Linked DNA regions of Saccharomyces cerevisiae S288C. Changing the gene in region 2 together with the main gene of any one other region gives a genetic interaction. Each region holds a gene or a part of one and is shown on either strand. Other genes may lie near its edges. The genes, in order: SMY1, RGD3 and RHO3.

Region 1 (12,218 bases), on a different chromosome or scaffold from region 2:
GTTGTTATCAGAAATGTATTCTACATTATCTGCTGATGAGCAAGATTACGAATTAGATGAATTTGTTTGTTGCGCAGAGGAGTACATTGAATTGGAATACCTACCTGCCCTTGTAGATGTCTTGTTTGCTAATTGTGGCACGAACAACTTCTGGAAAATTATGTTGGTGTTGGAACCCTTTTTCTACTACATTGAAGACGTCGGCGGAGATGATGATGAAGATGAAGATAATGTGGACAATAGCGAGGGCGACGAAGAAAGCTTACTTAGCAGGAATGTGGAAGGAGATGATAATGTGGTTGAGCGTCATTTTAAGCCTGATCCAAGGGTCATTACACTGGAAAAAATATGTGAAGTTGCTGCAAGACAGAAATGGATATAAGGAGAAATCAAAGGAAAAGAAGCAAGATCCAGCGTTTTCTTTTGAACCCTGGAGGATGCTGATGCATTCTCTATTTATTTGGTATCAAATTGTCGTACAGATGATTTATATATGTTAATATTGTTCAGTTTACACTAATTTTAATTTACCGTATTTACTATCCAAAGGAGAAAAAAAGAAGTATATGGACTTCAGTATTTATACAATATCGAGTTAAGATAAGTTAAGTAACAAAAAAAACTGGATAGAGTGGTTTTCTATTAGTGTGACGGAAGATAAAAACAGCCCTCTCGAGGAAGGGTGAATGCATACTTCGAAGGGAATCTAATTTTGTTTACTGGTTTTCTTATAAGATGGCAATTCGGTGTACTTGTGATTTTTCATGTTTTTGAATTTCTTCATCTCCGAGAACTTACCCAAAACACGGCGTTTCTTGTTTAAAGCTTTTCTAGTAACATCTGTGAAATCTCTGTTTTTCCCGTTGACATATAAGAAAAAGTACATGAAGACGAAAAATACCACCACGACAGTAGGGATAGATAATGCAACATAATACCACTGATCATTTGTTATACCTGCATCGTCTAAAGCCAGTTGCTCCTTAGTAGGCTTAAACACTTTTGAACCCTTAGTGATGTATAATAAAATACCGTATTGTAGTGGATCGAAATCTTCATCTGATATGTATATTGGCTGAACTGATACAACGATCCTACGATCAAATTGGTCCTGCAGCCATTCATCTCTGACCTCAACCGGCATTAGACCGTTGTCATTATCAATCCATTCGGAAGAGAAAAAAGTTGCAGGGATATCTCTTTTATAATTGCCCTTCTCTACGGGGTTTTCTTTAACATAGGACAAATGAACACGAACCTTATCAGCAACTTTACCGGAATTCTCATCTGTAAAAAATCTTGTATACCAAGTAACGAAGTAAGTCTTGTCAACCTTCCATCTAGAATTCTCATAAGGGGTACAAAATGGCTCACTGCGGATATCCTTTGCTAGACCTTTATTGAAGTAAAGATTAGGAGTACATCTGACAATAGGATTCAGGGAGACGTAGGTGTCATCTTCATCAATATACTCTTCTTCTACAAAAACTTCATTAGGGCCCATATTGTGAGCCTTCAATTCTTCATAAGAATATGTGTGGGAACTTACCGTTTTGAAGTAAGTTGAGTAATCAGGTCTTCCCTTCTTGGTTCGACCTTTGTTGATTTCTGGTTTAATGGTTTTTGGCCTACCATCATGCTCTAAAGATACCCAAGGTTTCAATGGATTTGGTGTTTCTTCTGGTTTTTCAGAAAAAGTGACACCGGCAATGACCGTAGGAGTGACTAATTCTTTTTGACTTCCATAAACCGTACGTAACCAAGGTTTAACTTCTTCTGAAGTAGTCATTTTCTCCTTTGGACGAACGACTTGTCTTGCACCATGAACATGTTGATAAAGCGATGCCAAAGAAAAGAAGATAAGTATACTATCGTGAAATCTCATTATTCCGCAATTCCTTCAGATCCCGCAGAACTGCTTCCGACTATATTGTCTTAACCTTTTTGCTAAAATATTTTGTTCTTCAAAAGTAAAGAATAGCTTGCTGAGAGAAATGCGTCGAATTGCCTTTCTTATTTTTTTCATGATCTTTTATTCCTTTTCAAAATGTCAACGGCAAAATAATATAATTTCGCCCTTTTCCCGAGATAATTTCACAAAAAAAGCCAACGAACAATTCGAAAGGCGTTTAACATGAATATACATATATACCTGTGTATATTCATAAGATATTGAGAAATGAATCCATGAAACTCATACTGCAGTAGTTGTTACGATTTATAATGCTCTATAAATTACATTAAATGCCTTTATATACAATAAAAATGCGCTAAGAGTAGGTGACTTATTTTGAATCAGAAACTTTTTGCTTTGCTACAGCGGCTGCATTAGTGACAACTTCTTGTAACCATGAAAGTTCAATCCTACTAACATTTCTGGCATATCCCTTCGTAGTAAAGACATACTCCGTGTACATTATACCGGGGCAGCTTTTATTCATAAATAGCATAGATGATGGATGAATGCTTATCGGCTCTCCAGTGGAAACAGTTCTATAAGACCTGTCTGGCATCCCTATAGCTGTATTCTTGATAAACCCAGTTAAGAAACACTTTAAAATTTTCGAAATTAGCTCGCCATCTTCACCAATCTTTTTGGATTCTTCATCCTCTTCACTGATTGAAGAAAACAAACGCTTACAATAAACTCTTAACTGGTCTCTGACACGAATTACATTTTTAAACCCACGTATCGAAATACACAATCCTTTACACCAATCATTTCTTTCAGAGCTTGCATCTTGACTTTTCCCTAGTTCGTAGAAATAGATATCAAAAAGCTCTTTCAGCATGATAAGGTCACCATACCTTTTACCAGCGTTGCATAAGGACAAACGACGCTCGTTCACCTCATCTCTTTCTTCTGGTGACGGATTCAACAGTAAATTTTCCACACTAAGGCAAGAGACGATATCAATGACCTGACTCAAACATCCGACTTCACTGGCTTTAATTAAGACACTACTTAAATGCGGTTGTAGCGGTAACAGAGCCATTTGTTGACCCCGTTTAGTTATCTTTCCACGAGTGTCAAGAGCACCCAATTCATAAAGTTCCTGAAGCCCCATTACTATAGCTTCCTTTCCAGGGTTCTCAAACCAGGTCCAGTTTAGCAGGTCATCAACACCATATCTCTTCAACATTAACACAGGAGATGTGACGTCACTTCTGGCTATTTCAGGTTCACTTTGTTTAGGTAATTTCACATAATCAGACTCACAATAAAGCCTGAAACTCTTTCCTTCACTTTCTCTACCAGCACGACCACTTCTCTGCATCGCACTTGCCTGAGAAATGGGTACGGTAAGTAGAGTGGCTAATCCCAGCTGATGTCTCCAAACTTTGACTTTTCGAAGACCAGAATCAACGACAAATTTAACACCGGATATGGTAACAGATGTTTCTGCAATATTGGTACTAAAGACGACTTTTCTCTTGAAACCCTTTATCGGAGCGAAGACCAAGGACTGTTGGACCGCGGGAAGAGCTGCATATAAAGGATAAGGAACTATTAATGGTACTGGGGCCTCATCTGAAACATACTTTGCAATTTTCTCCATTATAGTCACTGCTTTGTCAATCTCTTCTTGGCCCGGTAAAAAACATAAGATATCTCCCAGTTCTTCACCTTGGTTTATTTGTATACAACACCTGATGACAGCGTCTACTATATCATCTGTTGGCGCCTTCAAGTAGTATTGTTTGACATCAAATTTTCTTCCTTCTACAAATAAGATTGGGGCATTATTGAAGAACTCACTAAATTTTTCGGCTTGCAATGTTGCAGACATAACAATTATTCTCAAATCAGGTCTTGGCCCTTGTATCAAGGATTTTAAGAACCCCAATATCAAATCTGTAAGCACAGTTCTTTCATGCGCTTCATCGATAACGATGACGCTGTATTCTCTAAGGTCACTATTCATCATAAGTTCTCTAAGTAACATACCGTCAGTCAGATACTTAAGTCTTGTTCTTGTAGTAGTCGTATTGTCAAATCTGACAGAATAACCTACTTGTTCACCCAGTTTGCAACCATGTTCTTGAGCAACACGTGTAGCCAAATTGATGGCCGCAACACGACGGGGTTGAGTTACAGCAATCGACCCATGCTTCTTCGTATCATATAATTTTTCTAATACGAATTGCGGAATTTGTGTTGATTTACCAGAACCTGTTTCACCAATAAGGACGGTAACGGGATTGCTTTCAATATATGACATTATTTCTCGCTTGTGTTGGTAAACGGGAAGTGTTTCTCTCATTTTGAGTAAATCGCTTGCCCGACTTTTCAAAGATTTATAAGTAAGGACATTTTCCTTGTTCGAACGTTGGTCTGAAACATGGTCGCCCTCGCCTGAATCATTAAACTTTACGATTTTACTAGCTCTTTTAATCCGAGTGTTATTCGTGAATGGATGTATATTCCTCCTAACCTTTTGTTTTTTAGAAGTATGGTTTGATGCAACTCTACTATTGCTATTTGCTGCCATGATAATGTCTGCAGACTCTTGCAACCTCTTCTTGAGGAATTCTTACATATATATCATAACCTCATCTCATCTCATCGAGCAGAATTTTTTATTTTCAATTTTTCTCATTTTTCCAAATCATTGTAAACGAATAGCCGCCGAAGAAAAACGGTAGAAGAAAAGTACATCTTTCAGTCAGCATTATACGTACAAATTATTAGCGTTATCATCATGATTATAATTACAAAGATACTACACAGTTGTATCGTACAATTATCGAACTTAATTATAGTCAGCTTCCAGAAGAGGGACTTTTTGGAGTACTCGAAGTGACTTTTATCGAATGGAGGTTTAATCCCTTCTTGAACGGTCTTGCCACAAAAGACTCCTGTGATCCAGTGGTTGCTATACTGCTAGAAGAAACCTTTCTCGCGCCCCATACTAAAGGTTTTGAGGAAGTATTGGCTGACCAAGGGCTATTTGATATTTCAGAACCCTCCTCGATATGCAACATAGTATTTCCTGATGACGAGCTCATAGACCCTCTTCTAGGAGATGGGATTGCAGATTTATTAAGAGAAAGCTCTTTGACAGAACTTTCCAAAGATTTTATCCTTTCACTGCGTGTTTCAGTAAGTTTAGTGTGAGTTTCTAGTTCACCCTTTAAGATGGCGTTAGTAGTTAAAAGCTCTTGAATCTCTCTTTCCTGAAGCTGAATTTGTTCTAGTAGCCTAACGTTCATAGACTCTAAGGCTTCCTCTTTTGACTTTTTGTATTCTAACTCTTGCTGCAACTTAGAATTGGAATTCATCTGTCGATCAAAAGATAACTCAAGCTGAGCAATCTGTTCGCATCTTTTCGTTAATATTTCAGAAACTTCTTCGTCAATACGATTGTTAGGATCTTCATTGGTAGAACTACTCAATAATTGGGTAATACTGTCTAATTGAAGCTTTAGTTTGATATTTTCTTTCTTTGTATTTTCTAACATTTTTTTCTCGTCGTCTTCGGGAAGAGATTTATTGTGAAGGCTTTTTAAAGAGTCTATTTCAGCCTTTAGTATATTAATTTGGGCAACATAATTATCATCCTTAATTTTCATGTCCTGAATAAATAGATCCATTTTTTTTTTCAGATTTAAACCTGTGGTGTTATCTGTAACCTTGTTATTGATCTGTCTAATACTGTCACCAAATTCTAGTGTTGATAGGGTAGTTGGAACATTACTTAAGAAACATGTCAATATCACCTTTGTTTTCCTATTTCCCCCAAGGGAATCTTTTAACACTTCAGTTAATTGCGATTCACGGTAAGCAGAACTATGTGATCCTTTTGCGCTGTAGGCTGAATCACGCTCTTTCATTGACAAGGACCGCACAGTGTTTTTCAACGCCTCAATAGATTGGTTTAATTTTTTTAACGCATCTTGTGATAGCGTACTTTCAGTTCTTTTATCGAACTTCTCTGCCCCGTGTAAATCAACCAGATATAAAGAACTATTTTTTAATATATCATCTTTTCTATTCCTTTGTTCTACGTGTAATTGAAAAACTAGGTGTGATCTTGATCTCTCTGTCTTGTCGCCACATGCCATCCTATTGCCGACGTTTTGGACTGCCTGAATGTAGCTTCTTAAGTCTTCATACGATCCGACATGTGCCGGACAAATATCTTTGATTTCTAAGTCCATTTTGCTTGAAGAACGGTGAAGCTTTAATGGTTTTCTTTCAGGTAAAGGTACCAATAAGTCATACGTTTTCTCCATATATATTTCGAATGCCAAAACACTTACGCTAAAACTATCTCCCTTTGTTTCTTCATTTTTTTCTAGCGTATCAAACAAGGTCTTGCATATGTTCGGTAGAATTCCTTCGCTTTCTTTTGATCCAATAAGGGAATAGGACTTTCCGCTGAAACTTGGTCCATATGTTATTACAGTACCGTTATAACCATTCAAAACATCATTTATTATTGGATGCACCAGAAATTTCTGAACATCTTCTTGAGTGGCGTTAGCATCGAATACCTTATCGAATTGAAATGTTGAATGGGTCTCCTTGGTTGTCTCATGTAACGGATTGTTTGTGCGAAATAGCACAGTATTTTCATATGGGTCTATTTTGAAGGTCGACTCATTGTTTTGTAATCCTTTTTCGGGTATCGCCCTGAGGATAACTTCGATGTGACAGGGTTCACTGCTGTCTAGAGTTGGTAACGATACAGAAGAGCTACTTTGCTCTTTCGAAATTATATTCCAGTGCATTTTAACAAGTTTGCACCTACCCTGAATGATAATTTTTTCTGGTTTAAAGTCGACCTGTAGTGCTTAATAAACCCCCTACTAGTGCTAAATCCTGTAGATTTCCGTGCCAATTTTTCTATTTTTATTTTTCTTTTTTTGATTTTTTTTTTTTTTTAATTTCCATTTTTTTAACTTCCACCTCTTTCCTTGTTAACCATAAATAAGGAAGGATTGGAACTCAACGACAAAATTGAAAAATGTCTAATCGTTCATCAAAAGCATATTTTATCGGATTATGTTCCATTACTATTCAAACATTCACAATCACAGTGTATTATCTCTATGAATAAAAAAGTTGAAAATTCTAAAAAAAAAACAGAAATATATATTAATCTAAGTTAGTATTATAAATCGATTATAAATTGATTATATACATCACAAATGGTTCATACTCTGTGTCGACAAGAGAAGCATATTGGTGAAGAGAAGTATCTTGCTTGTTAATTTTCCCTTTTTTATCCTTCATGAAGGCATTGCCACCAAGAAATCCAAAAGCATCAATTAATTCAGACTTGCATTTAGAGAGATTCTTTGGTGGGACAGCTATAATCTTGATGTTAAAGTGAGGTGGCAACCCGTAACGCAAAACAGATTCCACGTAAACTCTCAAGGCCTTGATGTGGAACCAATTTATAAAAACATCGACATAAGCTGTCTTGGCCAATCTTACCAACTGGACGCGCAAAGATTGTTCTAAACTGGCAGCAGAGTCATGCTCTTTTTTCAACTGGTCAATTAATTCCTCCGAGTAGTTAAATTCACGAGGAATGAATTTCTTCTCTCTAGCAGCTGTTGTGAATTCTTGAACGTTTTTCTTGAACAAATGAACATTGAACAAAACATACTCAGCATCCTCTGCAATCACGCTGGCAGATGCTGGTACAACGTTCTTGGATAAAGTTTCGTACGATTTTTCGAAATCGGATTTTAAACTTTTGGGAACTGCTACTAGAACAGTAGTTAAATGTTCAGAATTAAGAACGAAGTCTTCGGGCTTGACAATATCATGCAAGGATCTGACAGAAAGGTCACCCGTCTTCTTTCTCTCAGCAGCAGCCAAGTTAGTTTTAGCGCTGTTGTAATTTGCATAAGTAGCTCTGACGTCGGCGTCTAATTGAGAAGATTCATTAGAAATCAATGTTATCAAATCTTTGATAGACTTATCTAACTTGAACTTTCTGGTTTGCCATTGAAAATTTTCCAAGTATTCAGGAACTGGCATATTATTGATAGGTAAAGTCCTGTAAGCATTGGTGCTGGTCTCGTTGAGGCCTTGAAGAATTTCAATGATTTTGCCAATAGAAGCCCCAATTTGGTTATCTACTTTAGACAGTTCTTCCGATTCAACTATCAATGTGTCTAAAGAGCCAATTTTGAATTCGGGAATTTTGAAATCAGAAACAAATGCCCTACCCCCGATTAAGGTCTCATTGAACCATGAATCAGTTTTGGAGCCAGGGGCGGTAACAGGTTGAGCATTTTGAGGCAACGAGATTAATATGAAATCGTTTGCAGTATATAACGCAGTAGCCATTTTTTTTTTTCAGAAAAAAGAATTGATCTAGAATTAGGTAAGAAAACAAACTCTAGCAACTGCAACTTCTATATACCTCCTTTGTTTGTGTTTCTAAAGCACTGTGACAAATCCTGCTTGAAAGCACATGATATCACCAGACGTGTTGCACTATCTTCAGTTCTATCCTAAATTGTTTTCCAGTCTTAAGATAAAATTCATTCCAGTTCGGGTAACATACACCGTTTATGACTGACGCTTCTCTTTACGGAAAATTGTTTTTTTCGCTATTGTTGCAAAAGTACAATGGAAAATGCCCCACTGAAACATGAAATAAGAAGAGAAGAATCAAGTTTATGCAAAATATTGTTAGAGTAACCGCAGCAGATTGTGATACTCAATTAGAGAGATTATTACAATATATATATATATAATGATTACATGGACGTTAATCGTTACATAGAATTAAACCACGCGTAAGTATGGGGTAATCATGAAGTAGACTTCAGGGTTTTTTTCTTTTTTCTTTTGAAAATTCGTTTTGTTTGACTCTTATGTATATTGGGAAGAAAATATGGAAGAAGAGTTATTGAGATTATTTCAAAACCTTACCGTCAACAATTTCCTTATCTTCGCCATTGACAACAACAGGCTTATCCCAAGCCCACATGTTGTTGACAAATTCTTTGTCTTCTTCCTTGGTTGGGTCCAACTTGGTGTATTCGTAAGATTCCCAGTCTGGAGCGACATCAAAGGCTGGAGCGAAATCTTGGCCTCTGACCATAACGGCACCAACAATACCATTATTGTTGTTTTCACCATAGACAACTAAACAACCGAACATGTACTTAGTAGAAGCGGACAATCTGTTGAAAAAACCACCGACCAAGTTGTTGGACATGAAAGTCAAGGTAAGTTCGTCGTTGTATTTGTAACCAACCTTCCAGATGGAGTATTCTTCAGGGTTGTAGTGTTCCCAGAACCATGGCAAAGCAACTGGTCTGGTGTCGTCGTTGGAGTACTTTCTCTTCCAGTCATCCAAGACAAATGTGGACTTTCCTAAAGCTTCCAATGGGTGCTTTGGCTTTTTAGCTGGAGCAGCATCATCTGCTGGCTTAGCTTCGTCCTTCTTCTTTTCAGCCTTTGACTTTTCGGCCTTTGGCTTTTCAGCCTTTTGCTTCTTTGGTGGAGTGTAGGTTAGAGCCTTTTCAGCCAATTTGACTTCAGCAAATGGAGTCTTCACGATTGGAGAAGCAGCAACAGTGTTGAACCATCTCATCAAATGAGGATGCTTAGCTCTCCATTCAGGGCCCAAAATAGTGGCCAAACCAAAAGCCCAAGAACCAGCGGCATGAAGGTCACCTAGAGAAATGTTTTCGGTAGCAACAAAGGTGTAGTCTCTCAATCTAGCATCGAAGACAGCAGCTAGGTTGTCGATTTTAACAAAACAAGCATCAACGTCTTTCTTGTTGTATGGAATCAAACCTTTGAAAGAAAGGAATGGACGAGCAATGTTGCTCATGACATCGGAATTAGCTAGAGATGCCCATCTAAGGATTTGAGACTTTTCGATAACGTCGGAACCTAATAAGCGAGCTCTTTCTTTTTCATCGGCAACTTGATTAGCCACTAAATATACATCATCTCGATGGTTATACAACCATTAATTGAAGAAATGTTAGTAAAACAATCCTTTATATTTTTTCCTGGATTAGGACACGCTTTGTACTTCCTTTTTGTTATTTTGACTTTCATTTTTCTTTAAGAAACATATCAGAAATACAAATATCAACATATGAGAGGTTACCTATTATTACCCATTCAGACAGGGATAACTGTTTGATAAAATTTTTTTTCATCATTATGTTTCGAAGAAAAATGACGTGCCAAATAAACGAACGGGAAACGCGCAAAACAATGTATGTGGAAGTGTTAAAATAAAATATGGAACATACAATAAAATTGGATAGCCAAAGCTTCAGTTAGCTTTAAGCCCTTTGGACCCAAAAATGCAGGGGCTTGCTTCAATGGGAACAAAGAAGCAAACTCGCTAGATTGTTCTAGATCAACGATCTTGACATCTAGTTTAAAGTAAGAAATCAAAGCTTCAGAAGCGTAGTTTCTTGGAGATCTATTAATGTATAAAGTACCTTGGGACATCTTGAATCTATCGAGGGCCAAAATCAAAGAATTGAGTTGGTATTAAGGATGGACACCAGTTTTGAACAAAATTAACGACGGAATGGATGAATTAAATATGAAAAAGAAAGTATTGCAAACTGTTGATGAAAAAAATTTTTCTTTCAATTTTGTCAGCAGCAGAGCGCATTACCCTGCCGGCCACATGCCGAATTAAATTAAATGAGGGCTGCTATTGCCAAATGTGATGGCTTGCCTACAGAGGTTAATTTCCCTTGTTTTGGGCTTCCTCTCTCAACACGATTGACACAAGCAATAGAGGCAAAGGTGTGTAATGAGTTCGTGTACCAATTAAAGTAAAGTAGAGTGGTTTAATTGGGATTACACGATTAAAAAGTTTCACCCAGACACCAAATTGAAAATTTTTTAAAATGAATTCTTTTTATTCTCATCTCCGGTAAAGAAAAGAGGAAAGTACAATAAAAGAGATGAGATGACCAAGAGATGAATAACAAGTGAGGACTGAGACGTTGTTGCAAGTGATAAAGAAAGTCCGGGAATTGAAAGATATAGGAGACTGAGATGAGTAATTCACTTGAGGAGCGCCTTCGTGCTAATTCAAGCGCCTTCGATGGTTTATTGGCTTTAATTCCTGCAAAATACTATTATGATGAAAAAAGTCAAGAGCAATGGAAGGCCAAGAAGAAAACCAAAGAACAGAGTAAAAATGATAAACTGAAAAAATTAGACCCGGAGCAACGTGATGATGAAACATCTAGTACATTAGAAGTAATGAAGAAGAAGGAGAAAGACGCAAAGCCGGTGGTCCTACCTGGTGAAAAATTCAAGCACATGAAAATGCAAAAGCAAAAGGAAGCAACATCAAAAGTGGAAGGAGACTCCGACCTGAACGTAGAAGTAAACGATCCTATGATAATAGCACCAGACGAAGATGAAGAAGAGGAAGAGGATATTAAGGTGATCTTTGATGATGAGGGAAATGAAATACCATTAGAATCTAAAAAAGATACTACAGAGCCCGATAGATCTGTCGAAAAGAAGTCTATTACAGAGGAAGAGAAACTACAAAGAAAGAAAAACTTGGAAGCACTACGTTCCAAGTTACAAGCGAAAATTTCAGATATGAAGAGTAAAAGGAAAGCACCCGGTTCTAGAGAGGCTATTCTTGCTCAAAGGAAACGCAAGGAAGAGTTGAAAAAAAGAAAGCGTCTAGAAAGTGAACAGGAACAGGATCAGGATGAAATTGCGTCTGATTCCGATATGGAAGACATCGATAGTGATTTAGAAAACAATTCGAAAAAAAGATTCAAAAAAGGCAAGAAGGACTCAGAAATTAACGCAGATGGTGTAATGTTTCAAAATATCATATTCGATGATGGTGCAAGGGCCACTTCAGATTTACAAAGGTTAAGAAAAGCTGGTAGAACGAAGGGTCCGGCTAAGAATGATGTAAAATCACACTTAAAGTTATTAGAAGCCAAGAAGAATAAGATGGAGGCGAAAGACGAACTAGAACAAATCAAGCAGAAGGAAAAGGAAAAATGGCAAAAGGCTATGTTACAAGCAGAAGGAATTAAGATTAGGGATGACGAAAAACTACTTCGCAAAGCTATAAAGAGAAAGGAAGCACAAAAGAGAAAGTCTGCGATTGAATGGAGCGAACGTAAGAGGGTTGTGGAAGACACGATATCTGAAAGACAAAAGAGAAGAGAAGAGAATCTGAGGATTAGGAAAGACAACAAGGGTAAAAAGAGAAATAAGCAAGAAAAGA
Region 2 (8,029 bases):
TTGGTATGTAGAGGAAGAAACATTACCACCGTGGCCAGTCCAGTTGATATGGATATCCTTGTCTACTGGCAAGTTGTCAGAAGCACATTCTGGCAACACTCTGAAAGTGTGAGCACCAAAGTAGTCACGTTGAGCTTGTAGTAAGTTGGCTGGCAATCTTTCAGATCTGTACCCATCGTAGAAAGACAAAGCGGTGGAAAAGGCTGGTGTTGGGATACCGTAGGTGGTAGCCAACGCAATTGACTTTCTCCAACCAGATTGAGCCTTGGTGACGGCATCAGCGAAGAACTTGTTGAACAACAAGTTTTCCAAATCTGGTTCTTCTCTGTAGGCCTTTGTGATTTGACCCAAGAAAACAGATCTAATGATACAACCACCTCTCCACATCAAAGCGATGGCAGGGTTGTTTAGTTTCCAGCCATAAGTAGCAGCAGCTTCACGGATCAACATGAAACCTTGAGCGTAAGAAATAATCTTGGAAGCATACAAAGCTTGTTCCAAATCATCGACAAATTGTTCTCTGTCCTTGACGGCGTCTTTTGGAACTTCTGGGCCTGGTAAGACCTTGGAGGCTCTAATTCTCTCGTTCTTCAAAGCAGATAGACAACGGGCAAAGACAGCTTCACCAATCAAAGTAACTGGCATACCCAAATCCAAGGCGTTGATGGCAGTCCACTTACCAGTACCCTTTTGACCAGCAGTATCCATGATTTTTTCAACTAATGGCTTACCGTCGACGTCGTCGAATTTCAAAATATCTCTGGTAATTTCGACCAAGAAGGAATCCAAGACACCATTGTTCCATTTGGCAAAAACGTCACTGATTTCCTTATCGGTAAACCCACCCAATCTCTTCATGATGTCATAAGCTTCACAAATCAATTGCATATCACCGTATTCAATACCGTTGTGAACCATCTTGACGTAGTGACCAGCACCGGCTGGGCCAACCCATTCGCAACATGGTTCACCGTCGGATTTAGCAGAGATGGATTGGAAGATGTTCTTAATATGTGGCCAAGCTTCTTCAGAACCACCTGGCATCAAAGATGGACCGTAACGGGCACCTTCCTCACCACCGGAGACACCAGAACCAACGAAAAGAATACCCTTCTTCTTCAATTCTTCGTAACGTCTATTAGAATCTGGGAAGTGAGAGTTACCACCATCGATGATAATATCACCCTTTTCCAAAAGTGGGACGATTTGGTTGATCAAAGCGTCAACTGGAGCACCAGCTTTAACCAAAAGCATGACCTTTCTAGGTCTCTTCAATTTGGAGATGAAATCTTCAATGGAAGTAGCACCGATGATAGATTTGCCCTTAGCTTCATTGGCCAAGAAATGGTCGACCTTGGATTGAGTTCTGTTGTAAGCACAAACAGTGAAACCGTGGTCAGCAGCGTTCAAGATCAAATTTTGACCCATGACGGCCAAACCAATCAAACCGAAATCAGCAGACATTTTATTGTAGTTTTTGTATAGAAAGTGGCTTTTTTCTGTAATGGCAACAATACAGGTTTATATGTATCAGGCTATTTACTTTATTATGTAAGAAAGGACCCCACTAAGAAAAAAGGAAACCTTTGAAAAAGAAACAAGCTCAGGAACAATACTGCAGCTTTTAACGAACATCAGGCCCATTTATATAATACAGCCTCGAAGCCCACCAAGGCCAAAGCGCAAGGCCGCGTGGACCACCAGGACGAAGCACCGCGTAACACCGAGGCACCGTAATGTAACACCGACAGCCACAATAGGTACAAAAGCAGCACAACCTCGAGGCGGGACGAAAGAACAGAGAGGTAGCAGGTGATTTACGTAGTTACTATGTAGCATGCATGGAGTTATGTAGAAGGGACATCGTTGACGTTGATGGGAAGGAATAAACCACTCTTACGTTTAGGTCTCTCTGGGGTTGTCGGAGTAGAACTAGTCTTGAATGGCCGAGGTATGAAATGGCCATCCTTGTCGTTTGGCGGTGGCTTAGGGGTAGAGTGTATAGGTGCCGTTGTATCCTTTATAATTATCGTCGGCGGTTCAGTGAGTGTCGCAGTAGTTGCCGTCGTGATCCTGTTTGCGATCAACGTTTGCAAAGTTTCTACAGTTCTTTCGTTGATGAAAAATGTAGATAATGTTGGTGACAAGATTTTGATGTCGATAGGGTTCTGTAAGCCTGTTCTTCTTACGAAGTGATGGGCCAATGGTATGTCTATGTCACTGTTGTCTCTAAACAAATCTTGTATTGTTTGCGGCGGAAGTGAGTATTTGCTATTGATCAATTGAAAATGGTTTGCTAGTTCTTGTAGAAACCTTAAGGAGCTCGTCGGAAACTGTTCACATAGGGATGTTAGCGATTTTTCGGCCTTAATTAAGTCATCGTAGTGGTTTGAAGGTATTAGGCTGTCGGGTAGCTCTAACAGCCATAATTTTATCAGTCCGACGAGATCATTAGTGACATAGCTGTGCGAGTTTTCAAAAAAATGAGCAGTGATTATAGAGTTTGTATTTTCGGTAGTTTTCGATCCTTTGAATTCCCCCAATAAGTCTCTTTTCAAATTAGAAACCCTTACAAAATCAATATCCCTGTGCCAACTTTGTATGACTTTATTAGCATTTGGTTCCTTTTCAATCTGCCGCAGTATAATCTTTATTGCCCCTAACGTATCAAGAGCAGCCAGTTCATTATTTATTTCACTACCACAGAAAAACTTTTCGCTTTTTATGGAGATTTCTTTGCAAGCGTCGACTGGATCACTCGCTTCTAGGATATTCCACCTGCGAAAGGGTATGCCATTATCCCTGAGGAAAAACCCTCTTACATCCGCATTGGCAGTTTCCTGTGGCAGTTGTGCTTCTTGTAGAGAACACACAGGTGAGTCAGTAAATTTTTCACATTTTTGTTGAAACATCATGTTTGATGATTCTAGAGCTCGTTTGATTCCGTCCTCCATTTTAGAGTAATTTTTACAATAATCATAAATGGTTTTTTCCAACTGCACTTTAGAATATTCCAACTGGCAACACTTGGAGAAAAAAATATCTTGTGATGATTCAAGTTGCTGTTTTAAACTCTTCCACTCATTTTTATTCATATCTGTACTTCCCGCTGCATCGCAATCATCATTATCATGTTGACTAACTTTGCGGATCCAATCGGATATAGATGTTTTGATAGATGAAACGTTGGACTTTTCTTCGTGTTCATTGTCGGAGTGTGTTAACTCACCATACGATTTTTTTTTTCTGTTTCCAGCATTACCATTACTCTCTTGCGTAGCAAGGACTTCACTGTTCCAGTAATAGTATTTTTCCTGGTCAAACTGAGAAACTTTGCTAGAGTAAAAACTCAGGGAATATTCTTGTATTATACCCAGTTGGATGAATTCGTTACCTATCCTATCGATATTAAATAAGGACAGGTTTAGTCTGGGTTCAAGTTTTTTCAATTCTTTGATCAATGACCTGCCTTGGAAACTTTGATTTGACAATCCTGGAACGGAAAAGACACTTTTCTCCAGGATGACTTTTCCCTTCAAGGTTTGCAAAAATGACATAAATTGGTCGCAATCCTCAAATTTTAACCTCTCGTCTAAAGTGTAAGGAAACTCGCATACGAAGTTCAACCTGGTTAACGGTGCACTATCCTTTCCATTATCAAAAACAGAGGAAGAATTTTCCACTGGCGTATTGGCTTTTTTCAATTTATATATAGACTGAACTCTTTTCTCACATCCAATTAGTGCCTCTTTAGCTGCGACTAAATCCTTAATGTAAGCTGAATAACGAGATGACAAATCGTTTTCTGCCTCACGAAGGAAGCTCTCATTAAGATCTCTTAGTTCTTGCAATGGAATTTTACAATCTCTTTCAACTTGCTCTGTTGATATTATATTAAACTGTTTGCTCATCACTTCCAGCAGCCTGCTATTCATTGAATTGGTTGCTTCCATTTTTTGTAAATTGTTCAATGTTGGTTTCCAAAATTTGTTGACAAAATCATTGTAAAATTTGATGTCTTTAATCAGCAAATCATTTTCTCTCTTCATATGTTTTATGAATAATTTGATACCTGTTGTATAGTCTTTGGTCCAATATGTGTTCCTTAGTGAAATTTTAACTGAGTCGCAATCAATGGAGAGTTGCCTCGAATTCTGTAATTCATCACCAATAATATCTTCTTCGTTATGCTCTTTAACAGACATAACTAGAGACCGAAAGAAAATGCTCTCTTTCTCTTGCCTTTGTCTATGTAATGACAATACTTAATCTACTGGGCCTGACTGGTTTTTTGTTTACTAGTTGCTCTAAAAAATGCAAACGTCAATAAAAAAGAAAAATATGGAAAAGAAAATATACTTTCCCGTATTAACTTGGGTAAAATATAGTAGTATTGTATTGGTGATTTTTCTTTCCTGTGCAAAATAGTTGGCAGAGCATTACACATATTTCTTATTTAGAATATTCAAATAAAGAAAAACTAACTACATGTTAAAAAAAAAGGCAATCCTAAACAGCCAATCTATCAAAGTCAGGTTCTATCTCATAACCGAATACACGGGCTAGAGAGTAGATGTACTTCCTTACCGAGTTGATGACTACACGAGCTAACCCAACAGCCCTTTTACGAAATTTTGGCTGGTTGTTCGTTGTGATGTCATCATTTTTCTTAGCCATATGTTGCTCACTAGTCGTTGGTAGCACATAATCACCAGCTGACAGAGAAACAAATAAGGCAAATGGTATGAACCAAACGCATATACCAAAAAATGAGGCTACTTCAGCGAAACTAGCACGTCTGCGTGGTATATAATTTGGATCAAATTTGAACTGTGGGGGAACTTCCGTATCATTAAAATATTTGAACCAGAAGTAGTGATTCAAGACCACACATACGCAGCTTAATAGGAAAGTTGGGCTGGTTAACGAAATAAATGGGAAACTTTTTAAGTTTTGGTAATATACTATGTAACATGCAATGGAAAAAAGTGTAAGTTTGAACGGGAAACCGTCTAGTAACAGTAGCAGAATTAATATTAATATTATACCATAAATAGCCCTTGTGAGAAACCGTCTTGTGGGTTCTGTGTGTTCTTCAACAAGTTCACTAATGTAGTATAAACCCGATGCAATTGAAAGTGTTAAAAAAAGAAACCCTGAAACGGTTCCTGCATAAGAAATCAATTCTAACAGCATGGTTTTATTCTAACAATTTCTTTTCTCCCTTTTGCTCTTTTTCTCACTTGTCAACTATATGTTTTTAGTTTTAATTTTCACATTGACCATTCAACCTTTAAAAAATCATAAAGTTATAAATGATAGAGAAATAAGAACAAAGGGAAAAAAAATAATACCGGTATAATGCCACCTGCCAGAATTGAACTAGCGACCTTTGCATTACAAGTGCAACGCTCTACCACTAAGCTAAGGAGGCTAAAAATACAACTATGTTGTATCTCAAAATAAGATACGTCAGTATGACAATACGTCATCCCAAACGTTCATAAAACACACATAACAAACGAATAGAATGAGTAACATAACTGTTGGAATGCGAGAATGAGATATTTGTGAATTTTGAGATAATTTGTGGGAATCCATTGTTCACAAAGACAATAATATTAGGTATATAGAATATGCTAGAAGTTCTCCTAGAGGATATAGGAATCCTCAAAATGGAATCGATATTTCTACATGATAATATTAGGATTATTCCTCATTCCGTTTTATATGTTTCATTATCCCATTACATTATCAATCCTTGCACTTCAGCGTCCATTAAGTTCGATGACTGTGTCCCAATCCTATGTCATCTTCTTACACCGCATGTAATAATATAATAGTAATATGACTACTATAAATAGATGACATTTTAGAGTTTCATGTCTTCATAAATGTTTGGCAGGAAGTTTGAAAAGATGGAACGTGCTGCTGCTGATGTAAGGGTCTGAATAAAACCGGATGTCTTGGCAATCCTAATGTCGCTAGGATAGTTGCTTGTCTTTCCAACAAAAGATATAATTCACAAATATTTCTCTGTGCTCCGCATATATTTGGCTTGATGTTTTAAATAGTTTGTGAGTAGTAATTCAATACAAATACTATCAAGCTTTAAGATTCATTATTTCACCAAAATAATCAGTTTTTGTTTTATATGAGGTTGAGTGTCTCAGCTAACTTATGATAAGCTATCTTTAACATGACAAACGGGATGTGATATTTGTTGTCTTGGCTCCAGATCAGCAGTTGTACTAATCTTGCTTACACTGAGCGTGTTCTATGCATTATCTTTAACACTCTTGTACGTCTTGTTTACCATACTTTGCCATATCCTTGTTCTTAAGAAAGGAATTTTGATCTAACATCTCTGAAATCGTGGCACCGTCTAGTAAAATATTAGACACTACTAACGTTACTAAGGAATAAGGTACAACAATTAAAGTCGCTAGTTCGTGAGATTAAAATCTGTTACATATTCTTAGATTGAGAGTTAACGCTGCATATTTCTCTTTGGTGATGAATTAGTCATAAATTGCATTTGCGTCACTCATTATTGTGCTTCTGTGTGAGAGTATTTTAGGAATTTATATATATATATATATATATATATATATATATATAGTATACTGGCTCCCGAGCCAGATGAGGGGGTATGAGGTTTCGACGCTTAAGGTATTATCTGAATCACAGTCGCATACACTAGTTGACCCTCAGTACAGAGATTCCCACGATTAACGGGCTGAACGGGTCCTGACTAATGTAGTTTTGAGTTCACCTGTTGGTGCAGTATTGTTATCGGCACTGGCACTGGTACTGGCACGGGTGTTTGGAAAAACTCTGTAGCATTCAATGGAGAGATTACTACATGAGTGGCGATCCAACGCGAGACATAATCTGTATTAGCTTCATAACCATACTCTGTCAGTAAGGAGCCATAGTCGACATCTGTAACATTCCTAGTAGTGCCAACTGTACCCGGCATGATATTATCTCTGACATCCCCAAAATACACAGCTGTACCATTTATTAAGTGGTAGATTGAGGGAGAGTCTATTCCACCAAGATAGAATCCGTTTCTTTCGAGAAAAATGACTTCATTAAAATTAAGTCCTGCTGGAATGTTAGTGAAGAATCTCAAAGGATTAGTAAGATCAACATCAGGGAGGGAACTATTGTTGATCGAGGTAGCAGCTAGGTTGAAGAATGTAGCAATAAATGCAACGAGGGTTATCCAGTGCATTTCCATTGGGCACGTTAAATAAGTTGAATATATAATAGTAATTTTAGAGGTTTGATGCAAGTTTGGTAGGAGATTTTATGCCTATAATATATATATTCGACCTCAATGTTCAGATAGTAGTTTTACTGCTTGAATATAGTGTGCGCCTGTACGTTTCGATTGGTTGAATTAAACATGTTCTATATTATAGCAAATTTGAAACTCCGCTGCATGTTTGATGAACGAATTGTGCCCGTTATATATATATATATTAAATCTTACTATTTAATTCCTGGGGTCTTATTTTTTACCTGCATTTAACATTTGAGCAACCATCGGGTCGCATATTCACTTTATGACCGAGGCGACCTCAATGCAACCGCAGGCGAAGATGTACGGTCAGAACCTTTCAGAATGTTATTAGGGCATTTTGTGTGGACAGTGACAAACCAGCTTCTCTAGGTACCCAATAGCGTTTTTACTGGGTATCCTGTTCTTTTTCGGGTAGTCCTTATTCTAGATCTTATTCCAAAAGCTTTCAAGACAAATCAATAAAAGAGCCTATTTGAATGTGCAATACCTTCACACCAGTTTTAGCGTGCCAAAAATCCTTCGTTCATTGAGAACTGAAGCCAGTTTAATTGCAATGGCCCTAATATAAATCTAAGGCCAACAAATACTTGGTCACAGAATGCAAGATATGTAACGATTTTTATAACAGTTTAACAGGAGAGGATAAGGACGAACATAAACGGTAGCACAGCCGTTAAGGGGATATCCTTTCAATTTCTACCCAGCACAAACTTTACG
Region 3 (11,011 bases), on a different chromosome or scaffold from region 2:
ACAGATTATGTCAGGAAAGATATTGCACAAATAACTGAAGATGTAGCCAATGCAAAAGAGGAGTATCTGTTTTTAATGCATTTTGATGATGCTTCGAGTGGATACGTTAAAGATCTCAGCACGCATCAATTTAGAATGCAAAAGACATTACGTCAAAAGCTATTCGATGTGTCCGCCAAAATTAATCATACTGAAGAGTTGCTGAACATTTTAAAATTGTTCACTGTAAAGAATAAGAGATTGGACGATAATCCATTAGTGGCAAAACTAGCTAAAGAATCTCTTGCACGTGACGGTTTACTAAAAGAAATCAAATTATTGCGTGAGCAAGTGAGTAGGTTACAATTGGAGGAGAAAGGTAAAAAGGCTTCGTCGTTCGATGCATCCTCTTCAATAACAAAGGACATGAAAGGATTTAAAGTAGTAGAAGTTGGGTTGGCCATGAATACGAAAAAGCAAATTGGTGATTTCTTCAAAAATTTGAACATGGCAAAATAGTGATATTTAGCTATATGTACGTTGTTAGTGCCGTTAATAATAAATTCATCCTCTATCATAGAAACAGGGCATGAGAAACGAAGAAAAATTGATATTGTAACAATATCATGAGACCTTTTATAGAAGTGGCGCCAAAACTAAATGTATTTGAAAATACAAAAAACGCACAGGTTTCTTTATATATGTATATATATATATATATATATATAAAACTGTACATATACTGTTTAAATTAATCTATTTATTCATTGGCCAGCTTATATAACGTCTCCTTGAAGTACTTTATCAAATGTGTGTTCTCCTCATGGGTTCCAACGGTAATTCTCAAACATCCGGAACAGCCTAATTCGTTACCTCTAAATCTGACGACAACCCCAGATTGAGTAGCCAATTGGTAATATAACTTCTTTGCCAAGACATTGTCACCCCCGTTGATCCGTATTAAAAGAAAATTAGCATCTAATCCACCAACATATTGGTCATCAACGTAATCCAAAGCAGTTAATTCCTTTAAGAGGCGCATTTTCTCTTCATTGATTATTTTCGAAGTGGCTTCCATCTTCTTTAGATTACTGTCTTGAACAGCTTTTAGTGCATATTCAGAGGCTAGGGAGGAAATATTATAAGGCGCCTTCATTGCATTTAAAATTCTGGCCAACTCTGCTGTTGCATATGTCATACCCAACCTAATCCCGGCTAAACCGAATGACTTGGATAGAGTTTGCAAAGTAACCAAGTTAGGATACTTGGTGACTAGTGGAGCTGTAGAGCCACCACAAAAATCTACGTAAGCTTCATCAACAACGACTAACCCATTGTCCCAATTCTGTAAGACCTTTTCGATTAAACTGGTCTTAATTTTGGCTCCGGTTGGATTACCTGGTGAAGTAACGAACATCAACTTAATTAGCGAGTCGTTTTTCAAAATGGTTAATACAGCTTCGGTATCCATTTGAAAAGAACCGTCGGAAACAGTTAAAGGACATTGGACGACTTCTATATCATTAATGTTTGCACAAACAGAGTACATAGAATATGTTGGTGGAAGAACCAGAATCTTTTCTTTCCCGGGAACACAGCATGCTCTAATAATAGCATCAATACTCTCATCAGATCCCACACCTAGGCACAGATTGTCAGCAGTTAAAGGTTTTACCTCTGGGTCATTGGCATAACTGCTTGTTTTGTTCCTGTATTTCGTCATTGCGGTCTTGAATTCCAATTGGTGAGGATCCGGGTAACGATGTAAATTGGTCTTGCTCAATTCAACTGGAGTAGGTCCATGGGCATTTTCATTGGCGTCTAGCAATATACCCTCGGTGAAATCATCTCTTGCACAGCGATAAGGTTCCAAGTTATAAATTTTTGGTCTAACAATTCTTTTCAAATCAAAAACCATAGTGTAATTTTAATATATACGGCACACACGTACTGCTGGTTTAGCAGGAAACAAATTAAGAGTAATCAATGGAAAAACTGTTTTTACATATTGGAGGGTATATTGAACAGAACTGTGTGCATCCTTTTCAAGTTATATAACGTGAGAGATAAAATATCAAGTATGTCATGTCAGGGTAAGAAACATCAATTGAAGTGAGTCAACAGATCCAAGAAAAAAAAGCACTAACTACGTCACTATACCATGAACTATTGAAAATTGGTAGTTTAGTCATCTCAGATTCCATTCATTGGAAAAAACAATTGACTCCTAACAATTAACTTCGGATTAGTCATTAATTATTTCAATGCTTGACTCCTTTTTTGAATAGTCTCACCCGGATCGTAGTCACATGATCAAATAAATTATTGCATTACCAATGGCTTCTGTATTAGTTACTGTCCAGGAAAGGTCTCAATATAACCGGTCACCTTATTTATGATAACAATTTTTAACCATTTACCCTTTATTTTTGCAAAGTTATGACCTTTGGAATGCGGCAGAAAAAAAAAAAATTGATGAAGTAGTCATCAAACAGGTTTCGGCGAAAGACAGTACAAGAATTGCCAGCTAAAGCTTTTCTAATATGTTATTCCATCAAATATTCACGCTATTAATGCTATCTGATCGATTACTTGGTAAAAATAACCAAATGAGTATTGGGTCATATTTTGGAGAAGCGAAAAGTGCACGGCATACTTAAAGAAGAGAAAAAAATTCTTAATCAAAGCTTAAGCGGCATCGCATAACTCTGACAAAAGTATAATCATAGTATGTGGTTTGAGTAAACAACAAGACTGGCAGGTAAGTTTTTTAAATGAATTTTCTTAGCAGGGTTATTGCGGCGCACGTCTATAGGTGATTTACCTTTGTTCCTGAATATACATGATATTCTTAATGCGACAGCGCCCAGGGAAGCAAAGAACGCCGACGAAAGAGCGGCGGAGCAAAAGGCGCAAAGTGACACCTTCCGATCCTGGGAAGTGATCGGTTTCGCTGTTCGGGCTTTTCTTAGACAAATAAAGTTTAATTTTCTTGCTTTCTCTTTTTGGCTAAGAATTCTATATTGTTCTTGAAACAACTTTGTCACACGTTCTAAAAATAAAATGGAAAATGGAAAATGAAAAATTAGAGAGAAAATGTATTACTGAAGAATGTGGTAAAGACATTTGAAAAATATTTAATATATTACCTGAGATCATTCAAAGGAACGCATCGGTGCAAAGAAACAGTTATAGCATTAGAGTTAAGTCAAGAGCACTCATTATTACTTTAAAAGGTCGTTGAAAATAGAATAAATTGACACTCAAAACGCAAGAATGACAGTAATCACCATTGCCAAGAGAGGCCTTCCAAAATTAACCACTTCCACTTCTTCGACAACAACTGCCAGTTCAAGTAGTACGATAACATCTGTTGCTTCTTCTTCATCTTCTTTACCACTTTTGTCCAACTCTACATCCTCTTCTATTATACCAAGTATTACTCCTCCCTCTAGAAATGGTAATCCTTATATTTTGGATTCCGGGGATATGCCTAATGGAACAGTTTTCATTGTAGTGGGGGGAATCGCGGGAGTGATTTTTTTGGCAATATTGCTATGGTGGGTAATAACAACTTATTCTTCGCATAGGTTGACCAGAAGTGTTCAGGACTACGAATCAAAGATGTTTTCCACACAACATACCCAGTTTTACGGCGATTCCCCATATATGGATTATCCCGCCAAAGAAAATTTCCAAGATCAGGTCCATATCAGCGAGTCCGATATTAGTCCCGGAAATAAGGATGAATCGGTGAAAGATGCACTTGTATCTCATACTAATAATGAAAAACCATTCTTAAGTAATTTCGAAAGGCCGCTATTCTCTCTTGCATCCGAATCCAACAGAAATTCACTTTTCATTTCACCAACAGGTGATATCTTATACAAAACAAGGCTATCTAAACTTTACCAAGAAAGCCCTAGATTATTACAGAAACCTGTGATTATGACAAGTGATAATGTATCTACAAATTCTCTGGTGTCTACAATCTCTTCATCATCCGCATCGTCGCTCGATAACGGTAATGAAAAGGAGGTGGGTGAAGACATAAGGAAACCCGCAAAAATTGCATCTTCACCAAGTCGAAAGCTGCTTAATTCACCAGAAAGTGATGGTAGCGTAAATCGTAACCATAGTAAGGGTAATTTGTTGGTCGTACAGTCCAAAAGAAAACCTACACCTTCGACTTATCTCGAGCACATGCTGGAGGGGAAAGAACAGGATGAGTAAAAACTTTTATGATATTTTGCAATATTTTTTTTAAGCAGTGGTAGTAATTACATAAAAAATATAAAATAGTAGGAGTATTATTAACTTCTATAACTTATTATATTATTTGTTTAGTCTCTCTTTTTGGGTTCTATTCTTTTGTGTGTGCGTCCGTGTCTTATTATATTACATAATGGTACAGCTGGATCCACTGTCACTTTTCACTTCGGTTGCTACTGGGCCCGCGGTTAAAGCAACTCTTGCGGCTTCTGTGAAAGCTTCGTTGACACCTTTATTCAGCTTAGCGCTACATTCCAAATAACGTAGCGCACCGATCTTTTTAGCCATAGCTAGACCTTCTTCATAACTTATCAGGTTTTTGCCGTTTGAGGTGCTATTTATGTTATTTCCGTTGTCGTTAGAAACGCTGTTATCCTGTTGGATATTGTTCGGTGTGATTGCGTTAGATTCATTTTCATTGTTTCTTAAGTCACACTTTAGTGCAACTAAGACTAACTTGACGCCTTCACAATGATCAGTGATTTCACCCACCCATTTATTTTGGACATTTTCTAAAGAATCGCGTGAATCAATACTGAAACATAACATTATACATTGCGTATCTGAATAAGACAAGGATCGTAACCTGTCAAATTCCTCTTGGCCCGCAGTATCCCACAACGATAGCGTGATATGTTTACTGTCAACGAAAATATCATGGATATAGTTTTCAAAAACAGTAGGCTCATAAACTTCGGGAAAATAACCTCTGGTGAAAACATTCAGCAACGAAGTTTTACCACAGGCACCGTCGCCCAAAATAACGATCTTTCTTTCGATCGGTTTATTTGACGTTGAAGCTGACCCACATAGAAATGACATGTTTGTTTCCCTTTACCTTGTGCTACTATGGATTTTAATGAAAAACTTGTTGTTATAAAGTAAAAAATGCTGACCAGAGCTAGAGATGAGAACGATAAAAAAACGAAAATCAATGGTTGCCTATTTTCCAGTAAATTCAAAATAATACATGTTTTTTCTTTCTTTTTCTTTTCTTTTTACTGTTTACCAATTTTCAGGAATGTTAAGAAAGATAAAAGAAATATACAAGATGCCATTAACGGGTAATGGCACCAGTATATCTATGACGGGTAATCCTGTTAGTGGATGTCAAAAAACGTTCTTGGGGTTTCCCGGACGCCTTACACTATTTTGTAAAAAAGCTCATCCACACCCCTCTCCTTGTATTTCTTATCTATAATCTACTATTTCTCGCGTAGGTGCGGTAACGCTGTTCCAAGAAAAAAGTTGGCCGACGACTGGTTCTGGGCCGGGCTCGACCGGAAGTGGTAAGTGGCCTCAATTTGAGTTTCGCTTACTCCTTCCATTCTTACAACACACCCGAAGTTTAATTCACGTGACCAGATAAGGGATTTATTATATGTTTATTGTAAAAAAAATAAGGTAGATAGACATATTACATTTCCTCGTGCTTATCGAAGTATTTTTCTTAGACATCTCGCATGACCACAATGCTGGCTCGAAGGCATTTACTCTTTCCTTGGGGAGATGTGCTTACTGTGATTGATTATGTATTCTTGCGTGCATCTGCAAATCTGCGTTGACTAATTTCGGAGTCTTTTAAACACAGAAGCATTACAGGCCCCTCTCCTCACTTGTGCCCAGTATGCAAGTGTGCTTTCCTGTGAAAACTCCTTCATTTTCTTTTCTTACGCATATGCATAGTCGGATTCCAGCTATTTCCATAGTAAAGAAGAAGAAAAAGTAAATACTTCCTTTTCACATGGGCCGGCCGATGCAGGTCCTCAGGTACTTCGTTTATAAGCTTATATAAGCATGCAAAATTAAACGAGGTGGCTGCTTTAAGAGCGTGCAGAATATAGTCACTTACTACCCTAAGTTAGGACTTTGTCTTAGGAACAAACACATCAAAAATGTGCAGAACAACAAGCCCGCGGGGGTTTTTGCGGTTGACTACTCCTGCTTCATGTCTTTTCTCCCCTGCCATTTGTGCTTCTGGATTTGCTTGAAGGTAACCTTAAAGGATCTGCGCATCTTTCTCTTACGAAAACAAGTATAAGATTTTGCCTGGGCAAACTTAAATTACGGAAAAAGGAGTCGTCGAGAATGTTGCCCTTCCACATTTGGATTAGCTGATAAACGTAAATTGGGGGGGGGGGGGGTCGGTTAAATTTTGTCGACGGGAATGGAATTTTCTCTGGTATTTGCCGCAGCTTGCAGATAGTAGAGCCGATCTTGTGAGGTTAACACCGCATATGGCATTCTGTTGCAAAGTTAAAATGCGTCACCCACCCTAGCGCCTAGGGTCGAGTACTGTTTTAAACTTTTTCAAGACCGGGCGTACCATTGTGCTTGTTCCTTACTTCGTTATTTTCTTGCATATTATATTGGTTGAGATTATTTCTATGGACTATATATAAATAAGGGACGGTCGTATTGTTCTTTTATGTCTGCATCCTAAAGAGTATTTTTTTTTATAGTCTTGTTTTCTTGTTCAAATTAAAGAAAGATCTAATAGTTTTCGTAATACTGAAACTACTCTTTTTTTTTCCTTACAATCTGACTTTTTTTGTATTTCCTTTTTTTCCGTTTGGTTATCCAGACTACAGTTCATGGTAGTATATCATATTATCGTATTCGTTTAACTATTTCTCAGTCCTTTTTTTTAAGTCTTTTTTTTTTTTTCTCATCATTTTATTACTGATATTTATAAAATGTACTTGGAATATCTTCAACCGAAGTTGAACCTAATGGATGAGTCTAGCACTATAAGCAAAAATTTCCCTGATTATTCACCAAATTTAAACACACCCATTACTTCAAATTTTAATGAAGAAACGGGTTCGGACTGCTCTTTAGTTACTCCAAGAATAATTTCCAGTTCAAATTCGAATTCGAACTCCAATTCTAATTCGAACTCCAACTCCAACTCAGGCTCTATTGACGAAAATGAGCTAAACAACTCTAATTCATCCTCCTCGTCTGCAAGACAGATAAGGAAAAAATGGAAAGAGCCTGAGGATATAGCATTCATTACTACAATAATGAATAATTCTCAATTACTAACATTCGTAGAATATTTCAAGCCTATGAAGAATTTTTGGAAAAAAATTTCAAAAATCCTATTCCAACAATATGGGTACGAGAGAAACTCTCGTCAATGTCATGATAGATTTAAAGTCTTATACACAAAGTCTTTGAAAGTGCATCCATCAAAGAAATCCAAGCAAAAGAAAAAAAAATCAAAACAAGAGGCAGGCTCAAACTTAAATTTTGATCCGTCAAAATTATCTAGAATGCAGTATTTGCTAGTGCAGTTACAAAACACTTTTAGTTTTGTAAACGGAAACATTATACTCAAGTCGCAAAAAACATTGAAGCCGAACAAGAATGGTACTAATGATAATATTAATAACCATTATTATAATAATTGTAACAATAACAATAATAATATTAACAATAGTAACAATAGCAACAATAATAATAGCAATAATATTAATAGGAATAGTAATCATAGTACTAATGTTTTTAGTACACCAGAGCATATTCAGTCAAGTATCAACCTCGATAAATTAGAATCTTTGCCAGCTTTGGATACCAAAGGAGAACCATCCTTCATTAGCCCGGCTCAATTTTCCCTTTTGTCATCAGCACCGGCAGACAATCTAATCCTGCAAACTCCACCATCGCCATTTTTCCAGCAAACAATGCCTATACAGCTACCGCGCGATGCACAACAAGAACAAATTTCCCCAGTTTTCTCTACAGATGTCATATACATGTGGCAAACAATGTTTAACACTATTGAAAATTTAAAGGAACAAGTAAACTGCTTAAAAAATGAAGTTAAGCAATTAAACCATAAATTTTACCAACAAAATAAACCGTTGCATAATATGTCAACTTCAGACTCAGAAAATTTTATGCAACAACATTAAAGTATGTATCGGGAAGTCTCCACCATAAATTTTCTACCCCTTTAATTCTAGCACATTCCCTGTTTCCCTTCACCCTCATCAATAATTTTCAATTCGTCGTTTCACCTTTTAATTAATTTTAAATGCTCATTTCATTTCTGTTTTAAATTTTATGTCTGTTTTGTATGCTATTTCATTTTTCATTTACTTCTCCAGGGAAACAAGACAATATTACTTATATATACATTTATATTTATGCCCATTCAACATCCGATTTTTTTCTATAAAATAAGTGAAAAAAATAATGAAACTTAACGAATCTGTCACCAAGAAATGTCCTTATTGTTCATTTTGGATTTTCTCAAGTTTTATCTTTGGTTGAAGCAGTTTATGTTTTGTTTACTTGGACAGCCAAAAAGAGAAAAAGAAGGTGAAAATTTTTTATGTGATCTCTTCAAAGAAATTTTAGATACTTTAAATGATGCCGTACGTCTTTGTTATAAAATATAGATATCTGTTTCTGGAAAGTGGGGGCAGAGACTTTTTAGTTTTACGACTTTTTTTCTTCACGTCGAAACTTTTTCTGAATTTTTACCAACTGACCTTCCAGCCGACTTATCATTTGCCCTAATCCTATCGAACGATAGTTGTTTCCCATTCTTCAGGAGATAGAATAATAAAAGCGATGAAGATGAAGTTATAGCACTCAAAAACGTAAAAACACCTCCATATCTCATCTTCTCGACCATCTTGGTCAGTGCTGCAATGAAAATTGCGGATAGGAGACATCTAAATAAATTTAAGCAACCTGTTGCGGTAGAAGCCTTAGACGGAAAGAGATCTACTATCAAAGTAGTAGAGAAGGTCAAAATACAGTTTGAAAATAAACTTGCAAATGCACTTGTGCATAATACAGCAGCAAGCGGTGTTTTCACCGAAATACACCATCCAAAGGCAGTAAAGCCAATGCTACTGAGAAGAAGTGTCACAAATGCTGGATGCAACCTTGCCTCCACTAAATTGAATGCATAATGAGAATTAGAGTGAATAAGTTCTGCTACCTTGTTTTTATCACCTTTATATTTCTCCATCAGCTGTAATTCTTGTTCTTTAATCCATCTGTTGTATTTAACCTTTCTTGTTCTGTAGCTCCAATTTAAGTACCGACCAGCAGAGATAATACTTGTCAGTGTCGAGATTCCTGCAGGTAAAAAGCACAGGCCTATTTTTGCAACAGATAGATTGTACTTTTTACTCAATACAATTGTTAAGGCTGTTTGATGAGTGGTCCACGTGGAAAATTGCAGGCCGGCAATGGACAATAAAATGTCTATTTCTCGTATGTGCAAAATTTTTAAAGGTGCTAAAAAATCCACGCTAGTACGTGGTTCTAAGGTCTCAGGGTCAGGATCGTCTAAATGTAATGTTTTTTTTACGGAACCAACATGCAATATCAAAGACCTATTCAAAAATGACCTTGGTGTTACGGAGCCGTTTCCCACCAAAGTTCTTTTTGTCTCTGGCATCAATAAGGTTGAAAAAACTAGACAAATTCCGGAACCAATAGCCAAAAACCAAAAAATTGCCCTCCAACCCCATTTCGAGGATAATCCGGCACCAATCAATGCACCGAATGCAGTTCCAACAACTTGGAACCCTGCAACCAATCCAACATATCCACCCCTCTCTACTTTTGTCGTTACATCTCCCATTATTCCGCTATTTATTGCAATAACAGGAGAAATACCTGCTGCCTGTAAACACCTTAAAGCCAGGATTTGGGCGTAATTATGTGCACATGCCAGTCCGATGCAGGCACAGAAGTAGGCTAAGATTGCCCATAATACAATAGGCCGCCTTCCAAATGTATCAGCTAAACCACCCATAATTGAAGGAGCCACCCCTTGGAAAATAAAATAAACCACAATAGTGACATTAGCTAACTCTTCTGTGATGTTAAATTTCCTCTCAATAATAGTAAGCACTGGATAGTAGATAGACCCTGCCACGGTTGAAAAAAAGCCTGTGAAGGCACACTGAACGACAAGAAGCATTTTTTGCTTATGGCTGAACCTTGAATAAGGCACCATATCAAAATTTGATTCGTTATCTATTTCAGAATGAGAATTAGATCTTTCTGCGTCGTTGTCACTGATGGCATCTGAGCTGGATCTGTCCACATTATTATTATCAGATCCTTCACGTTCTTCCTTGGCTATAGATGCGTTACGCATTACAGAAGTTTGTTGTTTGGTCATGATTTACTTATAGAAGTCTCTTCATGAGCTATCTGTTATTTTTTTATTAATAGAAGATGGTAGTGCTAAGAGATTATCACTTTTTTTAAGCAAGAATAAGTTCCTTTGAACGCTGATTGCTTGCTTACTTTTTTTGTTGTAAGAAGATTTTTTTGCTACAGTGATAGAGATTCTTCAAACCTTTCAGCTTCACCATGGTTTTATCAACTAGAAGAAACTCCAAGATCAGAAGATGAGATAAAGGGTCCGTTAACAACCGGGCCAGAAACATGAAACCCGAATCTCCGAATTTCGCACCTCCAGCATATTTTCGGCCTTGGCAAAAAATGGCGGAGAATAATAAAGGCAAAACTCAGTACTAGCCGTTCTATGTTAGTGAATCGTGCTGCTAACTCTAATTTTAGTTATTACAGAGTTCAGATTAAAAAAAAAAAAATACTTACTATTACTTTCTATTTGAGAAGACTTATCACACCAATTCCTCTTTCTCGGTAGTGGAGCGATCAAAAGGAACATTTTCCTTTGATTCAAGAAGCTTTACTTCTTAATTTACTCCCAGTTCTTGCTTTTTCCTCTTAAAGGCTAATTCTTTACCTTTTCTCA

Evidence for each region.
Region 1: of RGD3 (region 2) and SMY1, a mutation in one rescues a mutant of the other (synthetic rescue), as found in Saccharomyces cerevisiae (one study listed by BioGRID).
Region 3: of RGD3 (region 2) and RHO3, changing one suppresses a phenotype caused by changing the other (phenotypic suppression), as found in Saccharomyces cerevisiae (one study listed by BioGRID).

The regions. Positions count from the first base shown.
Region 1 is NC_001143.9:281,120-293,337, reverse strand, and holds SMY1 (Smy1p), read right to left. Parts: upstream 6,736-12,218; coding exon 4,765-6,735; downstream 1-4,764. Other genes in the region: AAN1 (Aan1p), read left to right, coding at 1-382; PSG1 (Psg1p), read right to left, coding at 707-1,885; DHR2 (RNA helicase), read right to left, coding at 2,286-4,493; VMA5 (H(+)-transporting V1 sector ATPase subunit C), read right to left, coding at 7,130-8,308; TEF4 (translation elongation factor EF1B gamma), read right to left, coding at 8,883-9,916, 10,243-10,447; ribosome biosynthesis protein RRP14, read left to right, coding at 11,009-12,218. UniProt on the Saccharomyces cerevisiae protein: Possible microtubule-based motor that can interact or substitute with myosin 2 (MYO2).
Region 2 is NC_001140.6:464,395-472,423, reverse strand, and holds RGD3 (Rgd3p), read right to left. Parts: upstream 4,206-8,029; coding exon 1,848-4,205; downstream 1-1,847. Other genes in the region: phosphogluconate dehydrogenase (decarboxylating) GND1, read right to left, coding at 1-1,464; SVP26 (Svp26p), read right to left, coding at 4,510-5,196; YHR180W (uncharacterized protein), read right to left, coding at 6,755-7,246. UniProt on the Saccharomyces cerevisiae protein: GTPase activating protein (GAP) for RHO3 and CDC42 that binds membranes through phosphatidylinositol 4,5-bisphosphate. Plays a key role in cell polarity. Modulates the RHO3 distribution at the plasma membrane and its polarity during growth.
Region 3 is NC_001141.2:133,814-144,824, reverse strand, and holds RHO3 (Rho family GTPase RHO3), read right to left. Parts: upstream 5,074-11,011; coding exon 4,378-5,073; downstream 1-4,377. Other genes in the region: FG-nucleoporin NUP159, read left to right, coding at 1-498; HIS5 (histidinol-phosphate transaminase), read right to left, coding at 740-1,897; pheromone-regulated protein PRM5, read left to right, coding at 3,256-4,212; RPI1 (Rpi1p), read left to right, coding at 6,948-8,171; QDR1 (multidrug transporter), read right to left, coding at 8,717-10,408; QDR2 (cation transporter), read right to left, coding at 10,953-11,011. UniProt on the Saccharomyces cerevisiae protein: Plays an important role in cell growth. Required to keep the uninucleated state. Modulates morphogenesis during bud growth via directing organization of the actin cytoskeleton and the position of the secretory machinery for exocytosis.